Linked DNA regions of Macaca fascicularis. The main gene of each other region encodes a partner of the protein of the gene in region 5 in a complex. Links are inferred from orthologs where the notes say so. Each region holds a gene or a part of one and is shown on either strand. Other genes may lie near its edges. The genes, in order: ARMC7, CWC15, PPIL2, RNF113A, EFTUD2, RBM48 and CRNKL1.

Region 1 (3,500 bases), about 16 Mb from region 5:
AGTTGGGTTTCAGGTTCAGGTAAATCTTCTCTTTGTTAGTTTCCAGAAAAACAGGGCAAGTGGGTGAAGCTGTGGCCTTCACTCCTGATTGATCACTCAGGACACTGGGCATGTTTTGCAAATGAGCTGAGAGGTGGCTTCCTCCACTGAGCAGGAACCAAAGGGAGGGGTACCGTGATGACAGGAAGCTGCGTTAGGATGCATGGAAAGTTATCTTCCCGCAGTGAGCAGCTGTGCTGAGCAGAGTGACCTCCAAAACAAGGTAGCATCTGTCCCCAAGGCCAAGAGGTCATTACACTGAGGGGGCCTGACCTGAGGGAATGGGGGTGGGATTCCGGCCACATTACCTGAGCACATGAGTTCTTTGATGCAGAACCAACCACTGATGTCTCACTGTTGCCTTTTCTGTTTTCCTCCAGAATCCTAGTAACGGTGACATGGAAATAACTTTAAAATGCTCTAATCTCTTAATTACAGTACATAAGTCAAATGGTACACTCCTTACCATTAATCTACAATGATTGCATAGCCATGAATGTGCATTTATTGGCATGGAAAGATGTTCACAATACATTGTTTTTGGGGTTTTTTTGTTTTGTTTTGTTTTTGAGATGGAGTTTCACTCGTTTGCCCAGGCTGGAGTGCAATGGCACAATCTCGGCTCACTGCAACCTCAGCCTCCTGGGTTCAAGCGATTCTCCTGCCTCAGCCTCCCTAGTAGCTAGGACTATAGGTGGGCTCCACCATGCCCCGCTAATCACAATATATTGTTAAATGTAAAAATCTGGGGCGGGCACAGTGGCTCATGCGTATAGTCCCAGCACTTTGGGAGGCCGAGGCGGGTGAATCGCCTGAGGTCAGGAGTTCGAGACCAGCCTGGCCAACATGGTGAAACCCCGTCTCTACTAAAACTACAAAAATTTAGCCGGGCGTGGTGGCACATGCCTGTTATCCCAGCTACTTGGGAGGCTGAGGCAGGAGAATCACTTGAACCCAGGAGGTGGAGGTTGCAGTGAGCTGAGATCACGCCACTGCACTCCAGCCTGCGTGACAGAGCAAAACTCTGTCTCAAAAAAATAAAATAAATAAATAATATAAAAGCTGGCGTAAACCATGCACAGTGGTGCATGCCTGTAGTCTTAACTCCCAGGGAGACTGAGGCAGAAGTATGACTTGAAGCCAGAAGTTCAAGACCAGACTGGACAACATAGGGAGACCCGACCCCATCTCAGAAAACTGATCAAGCAGCAAGCAGAGTATCCCATTTTTACTAAATACTTACATGTATTCACATATTTCAAATTGTGGGATGAAAAACCAATGTTCAGTCAGCCGCCTGACACTTGAGACCGTACTATTGCTCTGTCGCCCAGGCTGGAATGCAGTGGTGCCATCTCAGCAACCTCCACCTACCGGGTTAAGCTATTCTGCCTCAGCTTCCCAAGTAGCTGGGATTATAAACATATGCCACCAGTCCCAGCTAATTTTTGCATTTTTAGTAGAGATGGGGTTTTACCATGTTGGCCAGGCTGGTCTGGAACTCCTGACCTCAGGGTGATCCATCCACCTCGGCCTCCCAAAAGTGCTGGGATTATAGGCGTGAGCCTATAATTTGTTTGTTTGTTTTTGAGCCATTTGTTTGTTTTTGAGACAGAGTCTCACTCTGTCGCCCAGGTTGGAGTGCAGTGGTGCGATCATGGCTTACTGTAGCTCCACCTCCTGGGTTCAGACAGTCCTCCTACCTCAGCCACTCAAGTAGCTGGGGCTACAGGCATGTACCGCCACGCCTGGCTAATTTTGTGTGTTTTTGTAGAGCCAGAGTTTTGCCATGTCGCCCAGGCTGGTCTTGAATTCCTGGGCTCAAGGGATCCTCCTGCCTTGGCCTCCTAAAGCACTGGAATTACAGGTGTGAGCCACTGTGCCCAGCCCATTCTAGTATTTTTACCAGTTTTATTGCTATATTATGGACATAATAAACTGTACATATTTAAAGGGTACAATTTGATAAATTTTGGTGTAAGTGTATACCCATGAAACCATCATCTTATATGTTTATAATTTTTATAAATTGTTCTAAGGTGATGATACATTATAGGTTTTTAGTTTATTTTTTTCAGATAGGGTCTCACTCTGTTGCCCAGGCCGGAGTGCAATGGTGCAATCTCGGCTTACTGCACCCTCCGCCTCCCAGATTCAAGCGATTCTCCTGCCTCAGCCTCACAAGTAGCTGGGATTACAGGCACCTGCCACGCCCGACTGATTTTTGTATTTTTAGTGGAGACAGAGTTTCACCATGTTGGCCAGGCTGGTCTCGAACTCCTGACCTCAGGTGATCCACCCACCTCAGCCTCCCAAAGTGCTGGGATTACAGGCATGAGCCACTGTGCCTGGGCCGGCCTTGTTTTAGGTTTTTACATTAAAGGGAAAAAAGAAAGCGTATCAGCCATTGAACTGGCTGAACCAAGAGGGAAAGGGATTTGTGCGCACCTCTGGAAGGCTGGGCTGTGGCAGGCGGGAGCAGGCAGGCCTTTCTAGAACCGAGAAGGCAGGAGCCGGAATGGGCTTTGGATCACTTGTGCTGGGACCAGCTTCTCAGCCTGGGCCCTCCCTGGGGTTCATGAGCTGGGGAGCTGGCAGGAGGCCCGGGGCTACAGCATCCAGATTGTTCCTTGGTCTCCCACAGGAGGCCTGTGCAACCTGTGCCCAGACCGGGCCAACAAGGAGCACATCCTGCAGGCAGGAGGTGTCCCACTCATCATCAACTGCCTGTCCAGCCCCAACGAGGAGACGGTGCTATCTGCCATTACCACGCTCATGCACCTGAGCCCGCCGGGCCGCAGCTTTCCCCCGGAGCTGACCGCCGCGCCCGTGGTGCAGTGCATGCTTCGCTTCTCCCTCTCGGCCAGTGCCAGGCTCCGGAACCTGGCGCAGATCTTCCTGGAGGACTTCTGCTCCCCACGCCAGGTGGCCGAGGCCCGCAGCCGGCAGGCGCACTCTGCCCTGGGTATCCCACTGCCGAGGAGCATGGCCCCACGGCAGCGCTGATCCACGGGGACCCCGAGACTGTAGCACCCCTACTGTTGGAGACCACGGTCCTGATGTGGACGCAGGGAACAGGGGGAGCATATGCTGCCCCACTGGTGCCTTTTCAGCCATTTGAAAGGCGGGTTCTTTCAGCAGGACAGGCATTTACACTGTGATGAAACGCCGTCAGGAGTGAGGAAGCCAGACTCCGAGGCACGCGGAGATCAAACTGGAGCTGCTTTCATAGGCCGGCACTCTCTACCCTACGTCTGGTGCCACCACTGCCAGGCTCAGGCCCTGGTGTAAGAAGTGGCCAAGTGCCTGGACCCAGAGGCTTCACAGTACAGTGTTCTCAAGAGCTGGGACTGAGGCTTAGGAGAGCTGCCTTTGCTGCGGGAAATCAGGGATTATCCCTTAACAGAAGTGTCTGGAGTAGTTTTCAGGGATAGGAATGAGATGCCTCAAGGTAAAAGATG
Region 2 (3,500 bases), on a different chromosome or scaffold from region 5:
GGATGATTTGACTTTGAAGAAGTTGATGCTAAAATAAAAGTGAAGAAAGACAGTGTTGTAACTGATAAAGGATGGGAGGTATAAAAATAGAAACTGAGGCCGGGCGCGGTGGCTCACGCCTGTAATCTCAGCACTTTGGGAGGCTGAGGTGAATGGATCATGAGGTCAGGAGTTCGAGACCAGCCTGGTCAACATGGTGAAATGACATCTCTACTAAAAATACAAAAATTAGCTGGGCATGGTGGCGCATGCTAGAGGCTGAGGCGGGAGAATCAATTGAACCTGGGAGGTGTAGGTTGCAGTAAGCCGAGATCATGCCACTGCACTCCAGCCTAGGCAACAGAGCGAGACTCCGTCTGAAAAAAAAAAGAAAAAGAAAAGAAACTCAATAATAAGTCAATAAAAACAAAATAGATCAGCCTCAGGTAAATTAGTAGAAATTCATGTTAACTGGATATAATTTTGTACATGGTAGTTTGTCCTATTTTAGGAGTTTTCTTCATTAATAACTTCTCACCAAACCTAGAGACGCAAGTTTACATTATTAGTAATTCAAAATAAGATTAAATTAAATCACAGTTATGTATGACCCTTTAAAATTGAGATAATAGTTTTGCTAAATGTGTCTTTTTGATATTTAATATGTTCTTAAATTATTAGAATATGCTTATTGATATACGCTTAAAATTTAAAGCTATTAATTTTACATGTACTTCAAGAAAGAAAATAGATTTAAATATGAATCTCTAACATTTCACAGTTGGAAGAGACTGATATCAACCATGAAATATTTATAATAAAAATGCCAACTTATTTTATTTTGATGAGGGAGACTTTTCTAGTATGCCTCAAAAACCAAAAAAAAAAAAAAAAAAAAAAAGCCTGCCTTGATGCTTTTCTTGCCGTAAAATCCCAATGATCTGTTTTTTTTTTTTTCAGTGAGCTAATATAAAAAAAATTGAACCCAGAGTTAAAATAAGTAAATACTAATCTTCCTTTATCATTGACAGGAACAAGAACAAAAAGCTGAAGAAGAGAGGATTCGTATGGAAAACATTCTGAGCGGAAACCCTCTCCTTAATCTCACTGGCCCATCGCAGCCTCAGGCCAACTTCAAAGTTAAAAGAAGGTACTATACAGTAACGGAGTAATGAAGTGTGTGTGTGTGTGTGTGTGTCTATATGCACAGGCATGCAGATTATAAGTTGGATAGCAAGGTGCATTATATGAAGCTTCTAAAAGTCCACCGTTCGTTCACGGATACTCTTCTCTGTTCAATTAGGAATAATGGAAGAAGCTAAATGAAAGAAAATTAACTTATTTTCAGTAGATAGTTGCAATAACCAGCTGTGTACCAGATAATGATGTAAGCACTAGGGACAGAGTAATAAACTGAGGCCCTTACATTTTAGGTATGCGTATCAAGGGTCCCCAAGATGGCCTCTCACATTCAGACACTCACTGGAAGAACTCAGGGGACTTGGCATATAGTTACATGCTTGGCTAAGGTAATAAAGACACACAGCTAGATTATAAAGGGAAAAGACACACACGGAGAATGGATGAATCCATGCGCAGGTTTCACTATGCTCTATCCCTTCCATGAGTGGTCACACAGCACATTGTTTCCCCCAGTGCAGCAACGTGTGCAGTGCTGCTGCCCAGGGAAGCCCATTAAAGATCCCATGCCCAGGGTTTTTACTGGGCGTGGCTAGTCATGTACGCAGCTTTTGCTTAGCACATAGCAAAATCCAGACTCTTAAAAGGACAGTAGGTGTTCAGCATAAACCACATTATTTGTAAATTGTAGGCACAGTGACAGTGAGAAGATTTCTTAAATCCAAATTTTCAAATGCCAGCCAGGGGCCAACCTTGGAAGCAGGCATTTCTAAGGATTGTGGTCCCAGGCCTGCTTTTTAAATTCTTTCTGTACAGTGTGTGTGTTTGGAGGGGTAAAAAGGAGGGCTGAAAAGGGAGGAAGTATAAATTGTAAATACTGTAAATCCTTCAGATGGTGATATGTAAAATAAAACAGAAAAGCTTACAGGAAATGTTGAGGAAGGAAGAATGGTTGTTATTTTATATGCATTCATCAAGGAAACACAGTGCTTAACTTTTAAACCATATTCGTTATTTTTCACCACCTCTACTGCTATTATTTGCCATCTAGAGTGATGCAGTACTGCTACCCGCCCTCCCCTCTGGAGTGATGCAGTACTACTGACCGCTTTCCCCTCTGGAGTAATGCAGTACCGCTGATACAGTTCTGGAATTAGTCCAAGCTGGAGATAGTAGATTTGGAAGTTATCAGCTCAGATAAACTTTCTAAAGCCATAACACAGGATGAAATCACCTAGGGAAGGGTATAGCTAGAGAGGAGAAGTCAGAACTGAGCTTAGTATAATGTTTAGAGGTTAGGGAGATGATTAGTTACCAATACCTGTTCTAATCATCTACCCAACCTCTAAACATTATACAGGTGCCTGATAAATATTGATTGAATGAATTTTGAATGAAAAAGTCTAGGCTGACAAGCAGCAGCCAGTTGGGAAGAGAGGAGAACTGAAAGAAGTGAAACCAAGTGTTTCAGGAGGAGAGGAGTGATCATTTAGGACAAATACTAATGTCAGGAAAGAGCATTTTGGTGTTGGGAAGGAGGGACAAAAAGCCTGTTTGGAGTTGAGGAAAGACTGGATACAGAAAAAACTACTGATTATATATAAAAATAAAGCTATATAGTTTGTTTTTTTGCTTTTTTTGAATGCAAATGGAATTGGAGACAGAAACATGTCTTATATCCCAGTCATATTGATCTGCTCAGCTTCTTATGCTTCTCTGTATACTGCATCAGTGATGACTTTACTGCACTATTTTCCAAAGGTGCCCACGTTTGTTGCTCGTTGTGCAGTTTCCCACATTTGTTCCCATGTGCAGTTTCTCCTGGCATGTAAGCGCATACACACATACACACACTCATGATATGGGTTTGTGTTTTATGTATATTTGTGAGGGTATCTATATTATGTATATGGGCAGCTGTTTTATATGCTAGATGATATTCTGAAATCATGCTCTTTATTTTCTATAACACATGTATTTTATAACTTACTTATGGATTTTTTTTTCACACTTATACCTTATGGAATCCAACCAGAGTTCTGCCCTGAGTTCTTCGGCTGGTACTTCTCCGTGGTTAACGTACATGTGCGCCATATCTGAGCCTTAATTATTACACCCCAATGATTGCTTCTCCTTTTGTTGGCCTGTAATGCAAATATTACAGTAGATGATTACTAAACATTAACTGATAAAAGAGGAATATCTACAATCCTCAAAACCACATAATCTAAACTACATTAAATTGATTGGCTACTATCATCTACAAATGCCTATACTAATATTAGGGTAGTCCTAGGTGCAGCCTCTTTGTATTAGACCTAAAAACATTAAATATTTATGCAATTAAAATCTATGTATTTCTATTTTTTAACTCAAAAGTT
Region 3 (3,500 bases), on a different chromosome or scaffold from region 5:
CCCTGCAGCCAGCCCAGGCCTCTACGGGGCCGCCGCCTCAGTCTAGCTCTTACATCTCCTCCCCGATCCCCCACCCCCATGTCAGGGTCCCTCATATCTGTCCTCAGAGCCTCCTAAGGCATCTGAATGGCCACTCTGCAGGCCTGGCTCTGCTTCAGCGCCTCGACGGCAGGAGCTGGTGTGAGCTCTGGGCCTCAGGGTCTGGCACAGGGCTCCCTGCAGGTGTCAGAGAACTCCAAGTGAATTAACGAAAAACACTGACTTAGAAAAGCAGGTGCTGGCTGGAGCGTGGCCTGCTGAGTCAGTCACCTCTGTGGCTTGTCCCATTCTAACCAGAGGTTGGCCCGTGGCTGCCCACGTTCCTGTCCGAGAGCTCCCTAACAGCGATGAATGCTCGTTAACCATGTGCCTGGAGGAAGGTCGCAGCTCGGCCAGCAGCTAGCGAGGCCGTGTCCCTGTCCCTGCCCCTGCTTGCTGCCCTGCCTGGGGCAGACCACCTCCTCTGCCATGCCCTGCTTGACTCCCCCCACCTCAGTGTAGGCCTGGCCTCTTTCCCACCTCTGACAGCTGGCCGACCTTTGCTGCATGTGGCTGCCATTTGGCCGCAGGCTGGGTTCACTCTGCTGGGCATTCTCTTTTTGCCACAGGACCCCACCAATTTGGACAAGTTCAATGTTTCTAACTTCTATCATGTGAAGAATAACGTGAAGATAATAGACCCAGGTATGTACAACTAGGGGCTGGGCTAGGCGAGGGGGCATTTGGGTGAAATTGGGACAGTGCTCCCTGGGTAAAATCCTCCCTTTCCTGGAGGTCAGAGGGTCCCAGCCTAGACAGGCCCTGCATTTTCTGAACCAGTGTTCAGAGAATCCGAGCCAGCTGCAGCCTCAGAAACAACGGGCGGGATGGACTTGCCGCCCTGCCAGGACACCTGCTCAGGTTCCCCTGCTCCCTGCAGACTGGCCGGTGCTGTCAGTGGGCAGGTGGTGGGGTGACGGGGTCCTCCTGTTTTCCTGGCCGCTGGTGGCTGTCCTGCAGCCTTGGAGGAGCCAGCAGGACTCATGCTCAGAGGCCACTCAGCCTTGTGCTGCAGAGCAGTGGCCTGGGCACTTCGTGAGCATTGTATAAACTGGGTTTTAGGGAGGCTGAGCACATGACTAGGGGAGATTTGAGTCAGGAGAGCCTGAGGCCAGGGTTGGGGCTGGGCCGTGTCTGTGCTCTCTGCACGGGGATGCCCGTCCCTCTCCACAGAGTGGACTGCTGTCCAAGGACCAGTAGGCAGCAGGCGCCCTCCTGAGTTGGCAAGAATGGGGGATTTCACATCCGAAAAGACTCCCACACACTTCTATCAAGTAAAAACCTTTAAAATTACGGAAGCAAAGGGGCTGGGCGCAGTGGCTTACACCTGTAATCCCAGCACTTTGGGAGGCTAAGGCAGGTGGATTGCTTGAGCTGAAGAGTTCAAGACCAGCCTGGGCAACATGGGGACACCCTGTCTCCACAAAAAATAGAAAAATTAGCTGGGTGTGATTGGCGCGCGCCTGTAGCCCCAGCTACTCGGGGGGTTTAGGCAGGAGAATCGATTGAGCCCAGGAGGTGGAGGCTACAGTGAGCTGAGATCTTGCACTGCTTTCCAGCTGGGGTGACAGAGCTAGACCCTGTCTCAAAAAAAAAAAAAAAAAAAAAAAAGCAAAGTGTATACAGTAAAAAGATTAGAATATGCAGGAAACTACAACATGAAGTCCATCCTGAGACCCTTGTGAACTGCCTGGGGAGACCTTCAGGCCTGTAGCTGGGCACTGTGGCATTCTGTGGCTGGCAGTGGCACGGGGCCCATGCCATGGCTGGACAGCCCTGGCCTATTCTAGATCTGTTTCCCCAGCACGAGGATACTGGGGGCTCGGCTGCTCAGGGCCATGCTAATGTTTTGTAGATGAAGAGAAGGCCAAACAGGACCCGTCTTACTATCTGAAAAATACAAATGCCGAGACCCGAGAGACCCTGCAGGAGCTCTACAAGGAGTTCAAAGGGGATGAGGTTCTGGCAGCCACCATGAAGGCCCCAGAGAAGAAGAAAGTGGACAAGCTGAACGCTGTGAGTGGTGGAGGGCACTCGGCCGAGCCCCGTCTCCCTGCCTATCTCATGGCCTCTTGGAGTGGTCCTGGGAAAGGGGTTCATGGGGGTCTGGGGTTCCACGGCAGGGAGGCAGCCAGGATCCTCCAGAGCTGTGGTGCCCCTGATTGCTCTGAGCACACAGCCCTGGGGCTGCCCTGAGGTAGACAGAATCTGAGAAGGCGGAAGGGGAGGGGCTGACGTCCACACTGGTCGTTGAAGAACCAAGGGGTGTGTGGGGGCACGCAGGGGAGGAGACCCCTCCGCAGAAGGTCTGCCTTATGCTGTGGTCCCAGCCTGAGCTCAGTGGCCAGGGCAGGCACGTGGAGTGGGCACGTGTGGTTCTGTGGTGGCTGGGAGGGCAGGGCCCAATGTGCACTGGGGCGCAAAGCCATGCCAGGGAGAGTTGGGGCGTTTCAGAGTCTGCTGCGGTGCTGAGGTGGATGGCGTGCCTGGGACCGCACAGAGCTGCCTGTCTGGGGCTGCTGTGTTTGCTTCTTCCTCCTGTTCAGGCAGAGTGTGGGGATCTGGAGCTAGGGGGAGTGCAGAGACATGGGCAGGTATCGCTGAAGTTCTCCTTAAGGAATTATTCAAATTCTGGAAAAATTTAAAAAGCAAGTTTGTTGTCCATGGTCACCCCTCTGACACGCTGACACGCTGCCCTTAGCACTTTGGTATATATTTTTTTTTTTTGAGACAGGATCTTGCTGTGTTGTCTAAGCTGGTCTTGAATTCCTGGCTTCAAGTGAGATCCTCCTGCCGTGGCCTCCGAAAGTGCTGGATTAACAGGTGTGAGCCACTGTGCCTGGCTTGTATTTTCTTCTGATGGGAGAAACCCCTTTTCTTCCTCTATGATAAAAAATAACATTTATTGGGGCTTTCCCCCGACCCCTGATTAAATATGTAATGTGTTTAGTGTAGAAAATTTGAAACTTTAAAAAAAAGAAATGAGGCCAGGCGTGGTGGCTCACACCTGTAATCCCAGCATTTTGGGAGGCTGAGGCAGGAGGATTGCTTGAGGCCAGGAGTTCAAGACTAGGTTGGACAACATAGTGAGACCTTATCTCTACAAAATATCAGCCAGGTGTGGTGGCAGGCGCCTGTTGTCCCAGCTGCTCAGGAGGCTGAGGTCGGGGGGTCACTTGAGCCCAGGAGTTGGAGGCTACAGTGCACCAGGATTGCACCACTACGCTCCAGCCTGGGTATAGATCAAGACCTTGTCTGATAAAAGAAATAAAAATAAAAATAAATGGGAAGTCAGCCATATACTCCTAACCCTGAGGTGGCCAGTCCTGTGTGGTATTTTATCTCCAGGGTTTCAGCTGATATTGTAAGAGTCGGGACCCAGTTGAGGCCAGGGGCCCCTGGCTCGGCCTGGCCTTGGCTTC
Region 4 (3,168 bases), on a different chromosome or scaffold from region 5:
GAGCTGAGATCGCGCCATTGCACTCCAGCCTGGACAACAGAGCGAGACTCCGTCTCATAAATAAATAAATAAATAAATAACCCAGACAGCAAGGAACATTTCCCATATGTGAAGCCTGTGGTACTAGCTACCAATTCCCCAAACGCAACCCCTCTCCCCAACACCTTGGCTCCGGTATATTTTGTAGTACAGGCTCCCAAGAGAAAGAATGCATGAAAGTACTTTGTAAACTATTAAGTGATACAGAAATGTGATATGATAAACAGGCTCAGAGTTCTTACTTTCGTCATAGCTTTGGCTACTTCAAGCAAATTATAGCTCTTTTCTCAAACTACTCCCACCCCTATAATTGATGCCAAAGTGTTCTGAAAAGAAACACAGGCAAAATGGTTATCCTAGGGCTAAAAATCCTGATTATACCTACCTTGAGGTTTTTAATCCAGGACCCTACTTCACCACCCGCCTTCTCTGTCACTGTCTCTACAAAGGAAGGACACGAATTAAGACTTCCAAAAGAACAAAATATTTATTATTTAAATTTAAGAATTATCAGACAGCTAAGTAACGGGAATTGGATCCTCATCGGGGTCTTCTGGCAAGTCGGAAGCACCACCACCCTCTCCTGTAGCTCGATGCTTCTCTAGTTTAGCAATCAATTCTTTCGCTGGATTGAAGACGCCATTGGTCTGCTGGTCACAGACATAACAGCGCGGGGTGGTGCGGAAATGCTGCAGTGCACAGCTCTCGCAGAAATAATGCCTGCACTTGGTGACAACTGGGTTTTGGAAGCTCTGGCGACAGATGAAACACTTGAATGGTATTTCCTCATCATCGCTTCCCACTTCATAGTTTTCATCCTCATAGACACCATAGCGACCCTCATCAAGCTCACGTTCGATCTGCCACCCATGCTTGTAATCTGAACGGTCATGGAGGAATTTGCAGCTGTCTCCGAAGCCGCAGAAGCCAGTCTCTTTGTAGTCCTTACAGATGTCGGGCTGGTAATCCCAGCGCACGGTGGCACGTAGATGCTCGGGCGCTCGGATGGGGCCCTTCCTCACCATCCCGGAAGAGGCATTGCCCATAGACGTATCCTTGGGCTTCATGTATTTCTGATAATTGTTGATTCCCCGATAGATCTTGTCATCCTCCTTGCCCCTCAGCTCCTCCTGGATCTTCTGGCTGCGCTCAAAGATGGCTTGTGCATCGCGCTCTTTCTCTGTGTCCAGCTCATAGACAGCTGTCGCCCCCATATCCTCTGGTCCCACGGGTTTCGCCGAGCGGGTGGATTTATAAACCACGCCGAGACTCTCGGGCTCATTTTCCTCCTCCTCCTCGCTGCTCAAGTCGCCGTAAGCTGCCTTCTGTTTACCACTGTCACGAGTCTTCTGTATCATTGGATTGTGAGTCGCCCGCTTCTTTTCCGGTCGAACCACAGTGCAGCCTTCGTCGCTACTGCTGCCGCTGTCTCCGGGCTCTGGGTCGCAGGCCGGGCGCTTTCTGCGTCCAGCAGCCCCTTTCCGCCCAGGCTTTTTGAAAAGGAAGGTGCACACCTGATCCGCCGTCTTCCCTGGAGAAAACTGCTCTGCCATTTTAGAGTCCCGAGCTCCGAAACGGCCGTCGCTGCCTGGGTTGCACTTGGCCTCTGCGCGTTACTCCACGTCGCGCGCTCCGCCGGGAGTCGAAGCAAAAGACACTGACGGAAGAGAACTGCGAGAGCGCGAGCGCCAGCCTCTCTTGAGCCCTGGCAGATCCCGTCGCTTCCTCCGGAGCCGTACGTGGCACCGCCCCGCTCGCGGGCGGCCGCGGGGCTTACTGGGAAGGGAGCCGAAGCCCGGTCACCTTTCAAGGACCCAGAAGTAGGGTTTTGGCCTAGATAACGGGGCAGAGATGTGGTTCGAGATTCTCCCCGGACTCGCCGCCATGGGCGTGTGCTTGCTTATTCCAGGACTGGCTACTGCGTACATCCAGAGGTTCACTAACGGGGGCAAGGTAAGGCGGCTTCCTGGGCCCGGGGGCTGACTCCACTGGCTGATTTCTGAAAAGGATGGTGGGCAGAGAGGCCGTCAGCCTGCGGACCCTCTCTCCGAGGCCGGCCCTCTACTTTCTTCCGGTTGCCTAGAAGCCGAGGCTTGCGAAACGAAGCGCGGTAGAAACCACATCCTGCTCTGGTGAAAAACAGCGTTTCTGGGTGTATCAAAGTGGGCCTTAGGGCAGAGTAGCGACGCGGGGGCCGGAAAGGTAGATTAGAAGAGGTGGCTCAAGCCTGAGAATCCCTCACTGCAACCTCCGCCTTCCGGGTTCAAGAGATTCTCCTGGCTGAGCGCGGTGGCTCACGCCTGTAATCCCAGCACTTTGGGAGACCGAGGCGGGCGGATCACCTGAGGTCGGGAGTTCGATACCAGCCTGACCAACATGGGGAAACCCCATCTCTACTAAAAATACAAAATTAGTGGGGCGTGGTGGCGCATGCCTGTAATCCCAGCTACTCGGGAGGCTGAGGCAGGAGAATCGCTTGAACCCAGGAGGCGGAGGTTGCAGTGAGCCGAGATCGCGACACTGCACTCCAGCCTGGGCAACAAGGGCGAAACTCCGTCTCAAAAAAAAAAAAAAAAATTTTTCCTGCCTCACCCTCCTGAGTAGCCGGGACCACGCCCGGCTATTTATTTATTTATTTTGGTAGAGACGGGGGTTTCATCATGTTGGCGAGGCTGGTCTCGAACTTCTGACCTCAGGTGATCCACCCGCCTTGACCTCCCAAAGTGCTGGGATTACAGGCGTGAGCCGCCGCTCCCGGCCACCCTTGACTTTTTTATTCCCCACTTTCTCTTGCAAGCGTTTAGGAATTTACTGCAAGGTCTTGTGTTTTACATCAGGATTCATTTTCCCCTCTTAGCCCTTCACATCATCTCTAGAGTACAGAGTATAAATTTACTTACTTTTTGAATTTGTGATTGTCCACGTGTGATCTACAGCTGTTGTTTCTTAGTGTCCCAAAAGGCAACAACTAGATATTTCTTTTTTTTTTCTTTTTTTTAAAAAGGAAAAAAAATTCATGTTGGTTAAAATAGTGTAAGAAGTCACGGTCACCAACTTAATCCTAAAGTGTAGTGGTCTGATTTTATTTAGGAGATTCTGTTCTTGTACTACTAATTTGCATTTTTATTT
Region 5 (3,500 bases):
AAACATCACCTTAATGAAGTGATCAAAGTTAACGTTACCACCAATGAGGCAAATTGAAATCATGTATCACCTGATAGGAAATGCTTTGAGAACCACAGTTCTCACATGTTCTCACAGCATCACTTCTATGATATTCCTGCCTAAAACACATAACCTGAATATTATCATAAGGTAACATCAGACAACCTCAAATCAAGGGACATCCTTAAGGATGTCACGACAGTCCTTGGAAGGAAAGACTGAAGATTGTAAATCCAAAGAGACCAAAGACATGACAACCAAATGCAAACATGATCCTGGATTGGATCCTTGGGCGTGTAAGATATCATTGGAACAATCTGTGAAACGTATTGGAACAATCTGTGAAACCTGAATGGGATCTGTAAATTAGGTGGTAGTAATGTGTGAATATTAATTTTCTGATTTTGATGGTTGTGTTGTGGTTATGTAGAAGAATGTTCCTGTTTGTAGGAATCACACAAGGTGAGGGAGAGGTTGGCAAACTTTTTCTGTTAAGGACTGGATAGTATTTTAGGCTTTGTGAGCCATATGGTTTCAGTCCCAACTACTCAACTCTGCTATTACAGTGTAAAGGCAACTGTAGATGATGTAAATGAATATGCATGGCTGTTTTCCAGTGAACCTTTTTTTTTTTTTTTTTTTTTTTGAGATGGAGTCTCGTTTTGTCTCCCAGGCTGGAGTGCAGTGGTGCCACCTCAGCTCACTGCAACGTCCACCCCCTGGGTTCAAGGGATTCTCCTACATCAGCCTCCTGAGTAGCTGGGATTACAGGCATATGCCACCATACCTAGCTAATTTTTGTATTTTTAGTAGAGACAGGGTTTTGCCATGTTGACCAGGCTGGTCTCGAACTCCTGACCTCAGGTGATCTGCCCGCCTTGGCCTCCCAAAGTGCTGGGATTACAGGTGTGAGCCACTGCGCCAGGCCTCCCAATGAAATTTTTTAAGTAGACACAGACATTTGAATTCCTTATAATTAATTTTCATGTATTGTGAAATATTTTTCTTTTGACAATTTAAAAATGTTGAAAAGCATTCTTAGCTAGAGGGCCATGCAGAAACAGCTGGAGAGGCCAGATTTGGCCACAGGCCAGAGTTTGCACACCCTTACACTAAAGTATTAGGAGGTGATGAGCCACTGTGTCAACAGCTCACTTTCAAATAATTTAGGAAAAAGTAAGTTGTTTGTACTATTCTTGCCACTTTTTGACATTGAGTTATTTTAAAATTAAATTTGGTATTAAAGAAGTGGAGGAAGGGGACCTCCTCTTTTGGCTTTGGAGCACCCCGCCCCATCTCTGTAGTGGGGAGCTTCTTCCTTCTGTCTTCTTTCCTTCTTGCCTATTAAACTCTGCTTGAAACAAACAAAAAAAAAAAAGTGGAGGGAAGACTACATAAATAGAGACAAGTAGGGCAGAGACTTGGGTAAAGTACTGGTCTTTGGGAGGAGCCTTCAGTAGATTGATGTCACTGGGAGGAGGCATGTTCTGAAAGGGGTATGGCCAACTATAAGACTAGGTAGGTGGGGCCACCACATGGAGGCCATGATTACTTTGCCAGAATCTAACTCCTTTCCTTGAATTTTAGCATCATGGACACCGACTTATATGATGAGTTTGGGAATTATATTGGACCAGAGCTTGATTCTGATGAAGATGACGATGAATTGGGTAGAGAGACCAAAGATCTTGATGAGGTAAAGCAAATATATTGCTCTTTTCATCTCGCTCTTACTTATTTTTATTTAAGACAAGGTCTCACTCTGTTGCCAGGCTTGAGTGCAGTGGCGCAATCTCAGCTCACTGCAACCTCCACCTCCTGGGCTTAAGTGATTCTCCCATCTTGGCCTCCCAAATAACTGGGACTACAGGCATGCATCACCATGCCCAGCTAATTTTTTTTATTTTTCATAGAGACAAAATGTTGCCCAGGCTGGTCTCGAACTCCTGAGCTCAAGAATCCACCCGCCTTGGCCTCCCAAAGTGCTGGGATTACAGGCATGAGCCACCATGCCCAGCCCCCTCTTTTCTTTTCTCTCTCTCTTTTTTTTTTTTTGAGACAGCCTCACCCTGTTGCCCAGGCAGGAGCACAGTGGCACCATCTTGGCTCACTGCAGCCTCTGCCTCCCAGATCCAAGCGATTCTCATGCCTCCGCCTCCTAAGTAGCTGGGATTACAGGTGTGTGCCACCATGCCTGGCTAATGTTTTTTGTATTTTTAGTAGAGACGGGGTTTCACTATGTTGTCCAGGCTGGTCTTGAACTCCTGACTTCAAGCAATCCACATGCCTTGGCCTCCCAAAGTGTTGGGATTACAGGTGTGAGCCACCGCGCCTGGACAGATTTATTTTTTTTTAATTATATTGAGGTATATAACAGAGATGCATAGATTTTGGTAATGGAGACAGAAAAGAAAGATGTCCATTCTAAGACTGGGCTCATTGGCTCATGTCTGTAATCCCAGCACTTTGGGAGGCTGAGGTGGGCGGATGACCTGAGGTCAAGAGTTTGAGACCAGTCTGGCCAACATGATGAAACCCAATCTCTATTAAAAATACAAAAATTGGCCGGGTGCGGTGGCTCAAGCCTGTAATCCCAGCACTTTGGGAGGCCGAGACGGGTGGATCACGAGGTCAAGAGATCGAGACCATCCTGGCTAACACGGTGAAACCCCGTCTCTACTAAAAAATACAAAAAACCAGCCGAGCGAGGTGGCGGGCGCCTGTAGTCCCAGCTACTCGGGAGGCTGAGGCAGGAGAATGGCGTGAACCCAGGAGGCGGAGCTTGCAGTGAGCTGAGATCCGGCCACTGCAGTCCAGCCTGGGAGACAGAGCGAGACTCCGTCTCAAAAAAAAAAAAAAAAAAAAAAACACACAAAAATTAGCTGGGCATGGTGGCATACACCTGTAGCCCCAGCTACTCCGGAGCCTAAGGCAGGAGAATCTCTTGAACCCAGGAGGTAGAGATTGCAGTGAAACTCCATCTCAAAAAAATTAAAAAAATTAAAAATTTTAAAAAACAATGATAAAAGAATACTGGTTTATACTGGTTTAGTTTTATTTTAGACTTGTTGAGCTACTGTAGACTCGGTAGAGGTAATTACAGGCAGTCAGAAATGATTATATAAAATCCTGCAGTTAGATTCATAATATATTCAGCAGTATGGGGCAGTAGAAAACTGGCTTGATAGCTATTTTGGAGCCACCACCAGTAAGATATATGTGGCTGCCAAAAGAGCTAATGTAATCTTAGGCCACTTTAGTAGAAGTAGAGTGTAAGATGGTAGGAGGTAGCCAGTCTTACCACTGGAGGGTTTTGTGTTCTTAAGGAAGAGGTTGGCATGCTGTAATTTGTGTGAAGGAAAACAAGCACCCAGCAGTCCCTCTACCCACCTGCCTACACCTGTACTCATATACGATGCCTTCCCTTCCATTCTTATGAATTATTTGTTCATGCTTCTGTCTACTAGAAACTAATCCCA
Region 6 (4,246 bases), on a different chromosome or scaffold from region 5:
TGATTTGTCTCTAACCATAAAGCCCATCAAAAACCAAGATTGTCTACTTAGTAGTAAAAAATAATAACGACGATGATAGGAGGATTCTGCTGAACTCATGTTTTCAATGGACCAAAAAAATCTTCCCCTAGGTATGGAGAAGTAACTCAAGTGGAAAGAAGGGATGCTTGAAATTATTGCAAACTCTTTATTCATTACATAGATTAGCCACTGGTGGGTACCATGCATCCAGGATTTATGAAGATTTCAAATACGCCGTCCTTTTGCCCCCATAACCACACTCAAACTCGTGAGACCATGTGCCTCTATTTTTAATTACGAAAATAAGGACGCTGTATCTCCACCGGTGGTTAGAACTGCGAAACATCCCAACCACAACGTCCAGAAGGGCGACTGATCGCAGAGCTTCAAGTGATCTTAACTACGTTATGTGTTCCTGACACACTACAGCTGTGTTCCGAGGGTCTGGGACGCAGGACAGAACCATTACTATATTAAGCTTTCCCGCTCATGGGACGCGGTGCTCAGTCCCCGGGGACCGACAGGGGCTCCACCAACAACTCTGCGCCTCCCTCTCGCGGCCCGGACGGCAGCAGCGCAGGTAACTGGAAATGACTGGCAAGAAAAGCACCTTTTAAAATAACAAAAACAAACCACTTATCAGGAACTTTTCCAGCCTGGAATGAGGAATATTTATAAAAACAGTGGTAGAATATTAGGACATTTCTAGGCCCAGTTTCACCAAGTGAAAAGACCTGTGATAAGACGAGCCCAGGGCTGCACTGGACTTGCGGGATGCAGAGACTAACCAGAAGGGCCCTGCCGTCGAGGGACCCTAATCTCTGTACGCTTCGGGGGCGCCCGGGTGGCAGCCGGTGTCCCGCCGCGTCCCTGAGAGGCTTCGGCCTTGTCCGACCCCAGGCTGAAGATCAGGTGGCCCGGGGCCAGCACGTTACCTGCAGCAGGTGCAGCTGGGCCACGAGACCCCGTGGCAGGTGGAGGAAGCAGTCGCGAGCGTTGGTGAAGGCCACAGTCACTGCCGCCCCGCCTCCCCCAGCACCCGCCAGGCGATCGCTGCCCCACATCGTCCCGAAGCGTCGCTCTGGGTTTGCCCACCCTAGCGCCGCAAAGGACACGGGACCTGGCAGGCCGAGGACGTCGGAACCGGAGGAGATCGATCGGCCCCGCCCCCTGAGGCCCCGCCCCCTCTCCCCGCTGCGCGTCTCGCCGTAAGCCTGTAGTGGGGTGGGACAAGAAAGCTTCTGTCACCCACCGCGCCTCTCCGCCAAGCCGCTCGGGGGCGGCACCTCGTTCATCAAATCCTCGCACGCAGGAAACGATGGCCGACGCTGTCGATTCTTCAGCCAATGCTGACACTCCTTAACTCATCCCGCTCTCTTATTGGATAAAAGGGAGGTCAGCAGGGCGGATGTTGTCCTCCCTGCAAGGATCAAAGTAGGCAAGATGGCGTCCAGCGGTGGGGAGTTAGGGAGTTTATTTGACCACCACGTCCAGAGGGCGGTGTGCGACACGCGGGCCAAATATCGGGAGGGACGACGGCCTCGTGCTGTCAAGGTAAAGTGATTTTTGGTTTCATTCGCTCTCCTCGGTAGCTTTTTGTGAGCGCTAGCGCCATATGGCTAACCTACGGAAATAAAGGCACGACAAGGCTTCCGTCAGATCTGTCGCTCATTAGAGCTGGCGTGAAGAACCCTGGGCCAGGTACCAAAGATTCTCACGACCCTTTTGGTCAACTATTAGAACATCAACTCCACGAGAATAGGGCTTGGTTTTAGTCATTGGATCTTCAGTGTTTACAGTACTACTTGGCACAGGTAAGCGCTCAGTGAATATTCGTTGAGTGATTGTTCCCAGTGACTTCTGCCGACTCAATTTCTGGAAAAAAATGTCGACTGAAGGTAGTCTGTTATATGCCTTAGGTAGCCTCTCACATGGACTGTTACTCTTTATGCAGAGGGAATGGCAGAAATTTTATTTTGTGTTTTTTGCTGACTGGGTTGAACAGATTATTTCTTGTTTTCAAAGTTCTGTTTAAAAAAAAAAATAGAGGCAGATTCGTCCTAGGCTTATTTGCGAAATACGTTTAATAACTATGCATTTCTTTCAGGTATATACAATCAATTTGGAATCTCAGTACTTATTAATACAAGGAGTTCCTGCTGTGGGAGTCATGAAGGAATTAGTTGAGCGATTCGCTTTATATGGTGCAATTGAACAGTACAATGCGCTAGATGAATACCCAGCAGAAGACTTTACTGAAGTTTATCTTATTAAATTTATGAACTTACAAAGTGCAAGGTAAGGTGCAAGTTAAGCAATGACTCGTTTCATTTCCTCCATTCATATTTCTGTCATTTTGGCCCCAAGTTTCCCTCATTCATATCTGAATTACCCCAAAATGTAATCTAGCATATCTTCCTACAGCCTTTTTACAGGTTAACTTTACTGAAACACTGTATCCATCACATCCCATGCTTAACAATGTAATGTCCTGTAGCGTGGTAGAGTAAAAGTTGGGTTTGGCCAGGCACGGTGGCTTACGCCTGCAATCACAGCACTCTGGGAGGCCGAGGCAGGCGGATCACGAGGTGAGGAGTTTGAGACCAGCCTGGCCAACATGGTGAAACCCCGTCTCTACTAAAAATACAAAATTAGCCGGGTCTAGTGGTGCATACCTGTAATCCCAGCTACTCAGGAGGCTGAGGCAGGAGAATTGCTTGAACCCAGGAGGCAGAGGTTGCAGTGAGCCGAGATTGCGCCATTGCACTCCAGCCAGGGCAACAAGAGGGGATCTCCGCCTCAAAGAAAAAAAAAATGGGTTTGAGGGCTGGGCGCCAATAACTCACGCCTCACGCCTGTAATCAGAGTACTTTGGGAGACCGAGGCAGGCAGATCACTTGAGGTCAGGGGTTCAAGACCAGCCTGGCCAACATGATGGAAACCCCGGCTCTACTAAAAATACAAAAATTAGCCGGGTGTGGTGGTGCAGACCCATAGTCCCAGCTACTCAGGTGGCTGAGGCATGGGAATCGCTTGAACCCGGGAGGTGGAGATTGCAGTGAGCAGAAATCACACCACTGCACTCCAGCCTGGATGACAGAGCGAGGCTCCGTCTCAAAAAAAAAAAAAAAAAAAAAAAATTTGGGTTTGGCGCCAGGCATGTGGCTCACACCTGTAATCCCAGCAGTTTGGGAGGTGGAGGTAGGCGGATCACCTGAGGTCAGGAGTTCAAGACCAGTCTGGCCAACATGGTGAAACCCTGACTCTACTAAATACAAAAATTAGCTGTGTTGGTGCAAGCCTTTAATCCCAGCTCCTGGGGAGGCTGAGGCACAAGGATCACTTGAACCCAGAAAGTAGAGGTTGCAGTGAGCCAAGATCATGCCATTGCACTCCAGCCTGGAAAGAGTGAGACTGTCCCAGAAAAAAAGAAAAGAAAAGAAAAAAAAGTTGAATTCGATCCCAGCACTATGGAAGGCCAAGGTGGGCAGACAGCTTGAGCCCAGGAGTTCGAGACCCGACTGGCCAACATGGCAAAACCTCACCTCTGCTAAAAATACAAAAATCAAGGTGGGCGTGGTAGTGCATTCCTGTAGTCCCAGCTACTTGGGAGGCTGAGGTGGGAGAATCAGTTGAGCCCAGGAGGTGGAGGTTGCAGTGAGTCATTTATGGACCACTGCACTCCATCCTGGGTGATGGAGTGAGACTATGTCTCAAAAGAAAAAAAAATGTTGGGTTTGGAGTAAGTTTTCCATTTCCACTGCTTACTAGCTTTGTGATCTTGGACAAGTTATTTAACCTGTTTAAGTTTTTCCTGTTCCGTAAAATCTATATGGTAAAGGGACCTATCTACTTCTTGAGGTTGTATGAGGATGAAATGAGATAATCCATATAAAGGGTTTAGCAGAGTGCCTCCTGGTCAGAATACAGTAAGCATTAGCTATTGTGGTTTCTACTGTTACTCCTTTCTGCAAATTGACTCAGTGTTTTCCGGCCTTCTATGTGACATAAACCCTCTGCTCCAAAAAGGCTGAAGTATGCAATGCCTTATCTATTTTTATGTTGATCTCTGTTCTCCTCACTAATCTGCTCTGAGACCCATCCTTCTCTGGCTGTTACAATTCATATTTTCTTTCATGTGCTATCAGTAGAAATCATAATCTACCACAAAAGCACTTGATTTTACTGGGTCATGTGTGGTTTTCTCAGGCTGCTGTTATATGTA
Region 7 (3,500 bases), on a different chromosome or scaffold from region 5:
CATACATTTTCTCATTTAAAGCTGGCAGTAATCCAGTGAGGCTGGCATTATATTTCCCTGTTTACAAATGAAATAGCTGAGACTTTTGACAAGTTTGGTGACTTATCCGAGATCACATGGTTGGTAACCTGGGTTGAGATTTTTCTTTGCTTCCAAACTCAAGTTTGTACCCACCACTAAAATCTTAACTAAGCACTGGAGGAAAATAGAGATGAATAAGCGTGGCCCTGCTCTCACGGAAGCCACTGTTTAGTTCTACGCTTTTGTGTGTTTTATTCCCCTAAAATTGTAGTTTGAATTGTTGGGGTTTCAGGCTTTGGTATGGTTTTGGTGTTTACTTACCATTTTTTTAAGCCATGCTGTTTTGCCTGGTATTTCCTTAATCCCCTTGCACTTGTCCTCGTGCACCCTGATGTTAAGAACTGGATCAAGTATGCCCGCTTTGAAGAAAAACATGCTTATTTTGCCCACGCACGGAAGGTGTATGAGAGAGCTGTGGAATTCTTTGGAGATGAACATATGGATGAGCACCTGTATGTCGCCTTTGCCAAGTTTGAAGAAAATCAGAAAGAGGTAAGTATACTTAACTTCATTGTACTGTGAAACAGCTTAGCAAAGATTACATTTTGTGCATGGTGAGTTCATTTCCATTTTTTCTTACTGACATATCCCTGGAGATGTTTTCAAAATGCAAAAAACACAACTTCTCACAGAGAGCAGCGTATATATGTGACTAAGCTACAGATGGGAGCTGATTATAGATTGTATTATACCTGTCTTAATTTTATTGTGCTTTGTTTGAAAATTAAGTCTTTTAGTCTGAATGCCCGTAAACTGAGAGCTAGTCTTTTAGCATCCTAAGTAAAGGACTTAACAGATAATAAATGTGGGAAACAAAAAGCATAAAGCCCCAGAACAGAAAACAAAATTTAGAATGGAAATAGACATTGCCCTACAAATAAGATATTTCTTTTTTTCCCTTGTTCCTATGAAAATAGCTCAAATATTGAGAGGCTGAGGTAGGAGGATCGCTGGAGGCCAGGATTTTGAGACCAGCCTGGGCAACATAGTGAGACCCTGTCTCTAAAAAAAAAAAAATTGAGTGGGCATAGTGGCGCACGCCTACAGTCCCAGCTACTTGGGAAACTGAGGCAGGAGTGTCACCTGAGCCTAGGGGTTTGAGACTACAGTGAGCTATGGTCGTGCCATTGCACTCTAGCCTGGGTGACAGAGCAAGACCCCATTTCTTTAAAAAAAAAAAAAAGGCAGTTCAAATAATACAGAATTGAGATCCATCCAAATACAGGTTTGAGCATTCCCAGTCTGAAAATCTGAAACTCAAAATGTGAAACTTGTTGAGTGCTGACATGACACTCAAAGGAAATGTTCATTGGAATGTTTCAGACTTTGGGTTTTTGGATTAGGGATGCTGAACCAGTAAGTATAATGCAAATATTCCAAAACTGGGAAAACATCCCAAATCCAAAACATGTCCAGTACCAAATATTTCAGACAAGAGATACTCAGCCTATACAAGGTCTTGCACAGACCATGCTAAGGAGTTCAAATTCTGTTCGGGCCAGCAGGAAGCATTAAAAGGTTTTAAGCGGACAGTGATTGGATATGATTTATATTTTAAAGAGAGCCTCTGGCTAATTCATGGAGAATATATGGGGGTGGATGGCAAAAGTGGAACCAGGGGAGACTAGTGAGGAGACTTTTGAAGTGGTCCAGGTAAACAGTGGAGCTTGATGGCTGGGGGCTGGGGACGAGCGAAGGGCTGTGTGGAAGAGATTGAAATGGCAGGGCATGTTGCAAGAGTGAATATGGAGAATGAGGGAAAAAGAGGAATTGAGGATCACCTGAAGGCTTTGGCGTGAGCAAGTATGTGACTGTAGGTTAGGCCTTGCCTACTAAGATTGGGAAGATGGGGAGAGTCCCAGGTTGAGTGGGGAAGAAACAAGCTCAGTTTTGGACCTGTTTGAGATGTGCAGTAGACATCCAATTGGCAGTGTTAGTTAGGTAGACAGTATTAAATGTGGAGCTCAAAGCAGGGTACTGGTCCATCCTGACGGAGATACCTTCAACAAAATGGAGAAAAGCATCTTACTCAGGACATTATGAGGCCTCAAATTCTAACTTAAAAGTAATATTTTGGTACATTTACTCTCCTACTTGTGACTGTCATGAGAATATTGTGTTATAGAAGGTAATCATCCTGTCTGCATTTAGTTTGAAAGGGTACGAGTGATTTACAAGTATGCCCTGGACAGAATTTCAAAACAAGATGCCCAAGAACTCTTTAAAAATTATACCATCTTTGAGAAGAAGTTTGGTGATAGGCGGGGTATTGAAGATATCATCGTGAGCAAACGGAGATTCCAGTACGAAGAAGAAGTAAAGGTGAGCGCTGGTGTGGATGGTCAACTCTGCAGATAACCCAAGATGTGCTCATCAATACTAGCAACACTAAGATGAATCATAGCAAGTTAGCACTACCAGTGATTAATCTCTTGATGATGTGCCTGTGATCAACTGGCAGCTATTTCAGACAAGTAGGAATAAACAAGGCTGATAGAAAAGGCAAGCAAACAACACTTGGATTTGGTCTGCCACTTACATGTTGTAAGTTATTTTGTTGATTGCTGACTGTGTGTAGAACTGGAGCAAAAGAAATGTGGACTCCATTCGAGCTCATTGTTGGAAGAAGGTGGAAGAGTCAGAGATTGGTCCAAAAACCTGTTTTGCACATCACCTTTGAGCTTAACTGCCTGAACAAAAGATGTATGCTAGACAGGGTTCCACTGGCATCTCTTTTTCTGTAATGTACTATTTTGATTTCAATTCAAAGAGAATAGCATTTTCCTTCAGTATTCTGCTATGTATTTAAAAATACTCTTGCTTAAAAATTAGCCGGGTGTGGTGGTGGGTGCCTGTAGTCCCAGCTACATGGGCGGCTGAGGCAGGAGAACGGCATGAACCCGGGAGGCGGAGCTTGCAGTGAGCCAAGATTGCGCCACTGCATTCCAGCCTGGGCGACAGAGCCAGACTCCATCTCAAAAATAAAAATAAAAATAAATAAAAAATACTCTTACTTAGTCAAGTTAATTAAGATACCTCCAAGCAAAGGACTAAATCTGTTATTAAATGTGGTGGTAGGTTAGCAAGATATGTGAAAGATGAATTACTGTTAATTGGAAAGGCAAGTTTAACAATTGTGAGCATGATATAATTCTATTGTTGTTACAGACATAATGATACATAGTCACATATTTAAGCAAATGCATTGGTAAGAATAGGCATCTAATTATTGACTATCATGAGAGTGATGACTATAGATGAAGGGGTGCTTGCTGTGGGACACCTGGCCAGTAATCTAACCTCTGTATTCCTGTGTCTTTTCTATTTATGCAGTCTCAGGGATGGTGTTTTTAAAATGAGAGAACATGTAAAATTTAGAAGAAAAGGTGCTAAAATATAGAAAGTCGGCCTGATGCCTT

What was found.
Region 1: EFTUD2 (region 5) and ARMC7 share a complex: the UniProt entries of both Homo sapiens proteins name them as parts of the minor spliceosome. The link is inferred for Macaca fascicularis from reciprocal best matches to the Homo sapiens genes EFTUD2 and ARMC7.
Region 2: EFTUD2 (region 5) and CWC15 share a complex: the UniProt entries of both Homo sapiens proteins name them as parts of the minor spliceosome. The link is inferred for Macaca fascicularis from reciprocal best matches to the Homo sapiens genes EFTUD2 and CWC15.
Region 3: EFTUD2 (region 5) and PPIL2 share a complex: the UniProt entries of both Homo sapiens proteins name them as parts of the minor spliceosome. The link is inferred for Macaca fascicularis from reciprocal best matches to the Homo sapiens genes EFTUD2 and PPIL2.
Region 4: EFTUD2 (region 5) and RNF113A share a complex: the UniProt entries of both Homo sapiens proteins name them as parts of the minor spliceosome. The link is inferred for Macaca fascicularis from reciprocal best matches to the Homo sapiens genes EFTUD2 and RNF113A.
Region 6: EFTUD2 (region 5) and RBM48 share a complex: the UniProt entries of both Homo sapiens proteins name them as parts of the minor spliceosome. The link is inferred for Macaca fascicularis from reciprocal best matches to the Homo sapiens genes EFTUD2 and RBM48.
Region 7: EFTUD2 (region 5) and CRNKL1 share a complex: the UniProt entries of both Homo sapiens proteins name them as parts of the minor spliceosome. The link is inferred for Macaca fascicularis from reciprocal best matches to the Homo sapiens genes EFTUD2 and CRNKL1.

The regions. Positions count from the first base shown.
Region 1 is NC_088390.1:81,510,598-81,514,097, forward strand, and holds part of ARMC7 (armadillo repeat-containing protein 7), read left to right. Parts: intron 1-2,683; coding exon 2,684-3,045; 3' UTR 3,046-3,500. UniProt on the Homo sapiens protein: As a component of the minor spliceosome, involved in the splicing of U12-type introns in pre-mRNAs.
Region 2 is NC_088388.1:93,949,601-93,953,100, reverse strand, and holds part of CWC15 (spliceosome-associated protein CWC15 homolog), read left to right. Parts: intron 1-1,010; coding exon 1,011-1,129; intron 1,130-3,500. UniProt on the Homo sapiens protein: Involved in pre-mRNA splicing as component of the spliceosome. Component of the PRP19-CDC5L complex that forms an integral part of the spliceosome and is required for activating pre-mRNA splicing.
Region 3 is NC_088384.1:31,448,912-31,452,411, reverse strand, and holds part of PPIL2 (RING-type E3 ubiquitin-protein ligase PPIL2), read left to right. Parts: intron 1-647; coding exon 648-723; intron 724-1,933; coding exon 1,934-2,094; intron 2,095-2,812; exon of another isoform or gene 2,813-2,901; intron 2,902-3,500. UniProt on the Homo sapiens protein: Has a ubiquitin-protein ligase activity acting as an E3 ubiquitin protein ligase or as an ubiquitin-ubiquitin ligase promoting elongation of ubiquitin chains on substrates.
Region 4 is NC_088395.1:126,232,984-126,236,151, forward strand, and holds RNF113A (E3 ubiquitin-protein ligase RNF113A), read right to left. Parts: upstream 1,699-3,168; 5' UTR 1,593-1,698; coding exon 558-1,592; 3' UTR 501-557; downstream 1-500. Other genes in the region: NDUFA1 (NADH dehydrogenase [ubiquinone] 1 alpha subcomplex subunit 1), read left to right, coding at 1,891-1,992. UniProt on the Homo sapiens protein: Required for pre-mRNA splicing as component of the spliceosome. As a component of the minor spliceosome, involved in the splicing of U12-type introns in pre-mRNAs. E3 ubiquitin-protein ligase that catalyzes the transfer of ubiquitin onto target proteins.
Region 5 is NC_088390.1:65,948,244-65,951,743, reverse strand, and holds part of EFTUD2 (116 kDa U5 small nuclear ribonucleoprotein component), read left to right. Parts: intron 1-1,608; 5' UTR 1,609-1,612; coding exon 1,613-1,717; intron 1,718-3,500. UniProt on the Homo sapiens protein: Required for pre-mRNA splicing as component of the spliceosome, including pre-catalytic, catalytic and post-catalytic spliceosomal complexes. Component of the U5 snRNP and the U4/U6-U5 tri-snRNP complex, a building block of the spliceosome.
Region 6 is NC_088377.1:128,836,628-128,840,873, reverse strand, and holds the start of RBM48 (RNA-binding protein 48), read left to right. Parts: upstream 1-1,446; 5' UTR 1,447-1,464; coding exon 1,465-1,575; exon of another isoform or gene 1,576-1,835; intron 1,836-2,128; coding exon 2,129-2,319; intron 2,320-4,246. Other genes in the region: peroxisomal ATPase PEX1, read right to left, coding at 957-1,085. UniProt on the Homo sapiens protein: As a component of the minor spliceosome, involved in the splicing of U12-type introns in pre-mRNAs.
Region 7 is NC_088384.1:67,260,686-67,264,185, forward strand, and holds part of CRNKL1 (crooked neck-like protein 1), read left to right. Parts: intron 1-394; coding exon 395-573; intron 574-2,232; coding exon 2,233-2,403; intron 2,404-3,500. UniProt on the Homo sapiens protein: Involved in pre-mRNA splicing process. As a component of the minor spliceosome, involved in the splicing of U12-type introns in pre-mRNAs.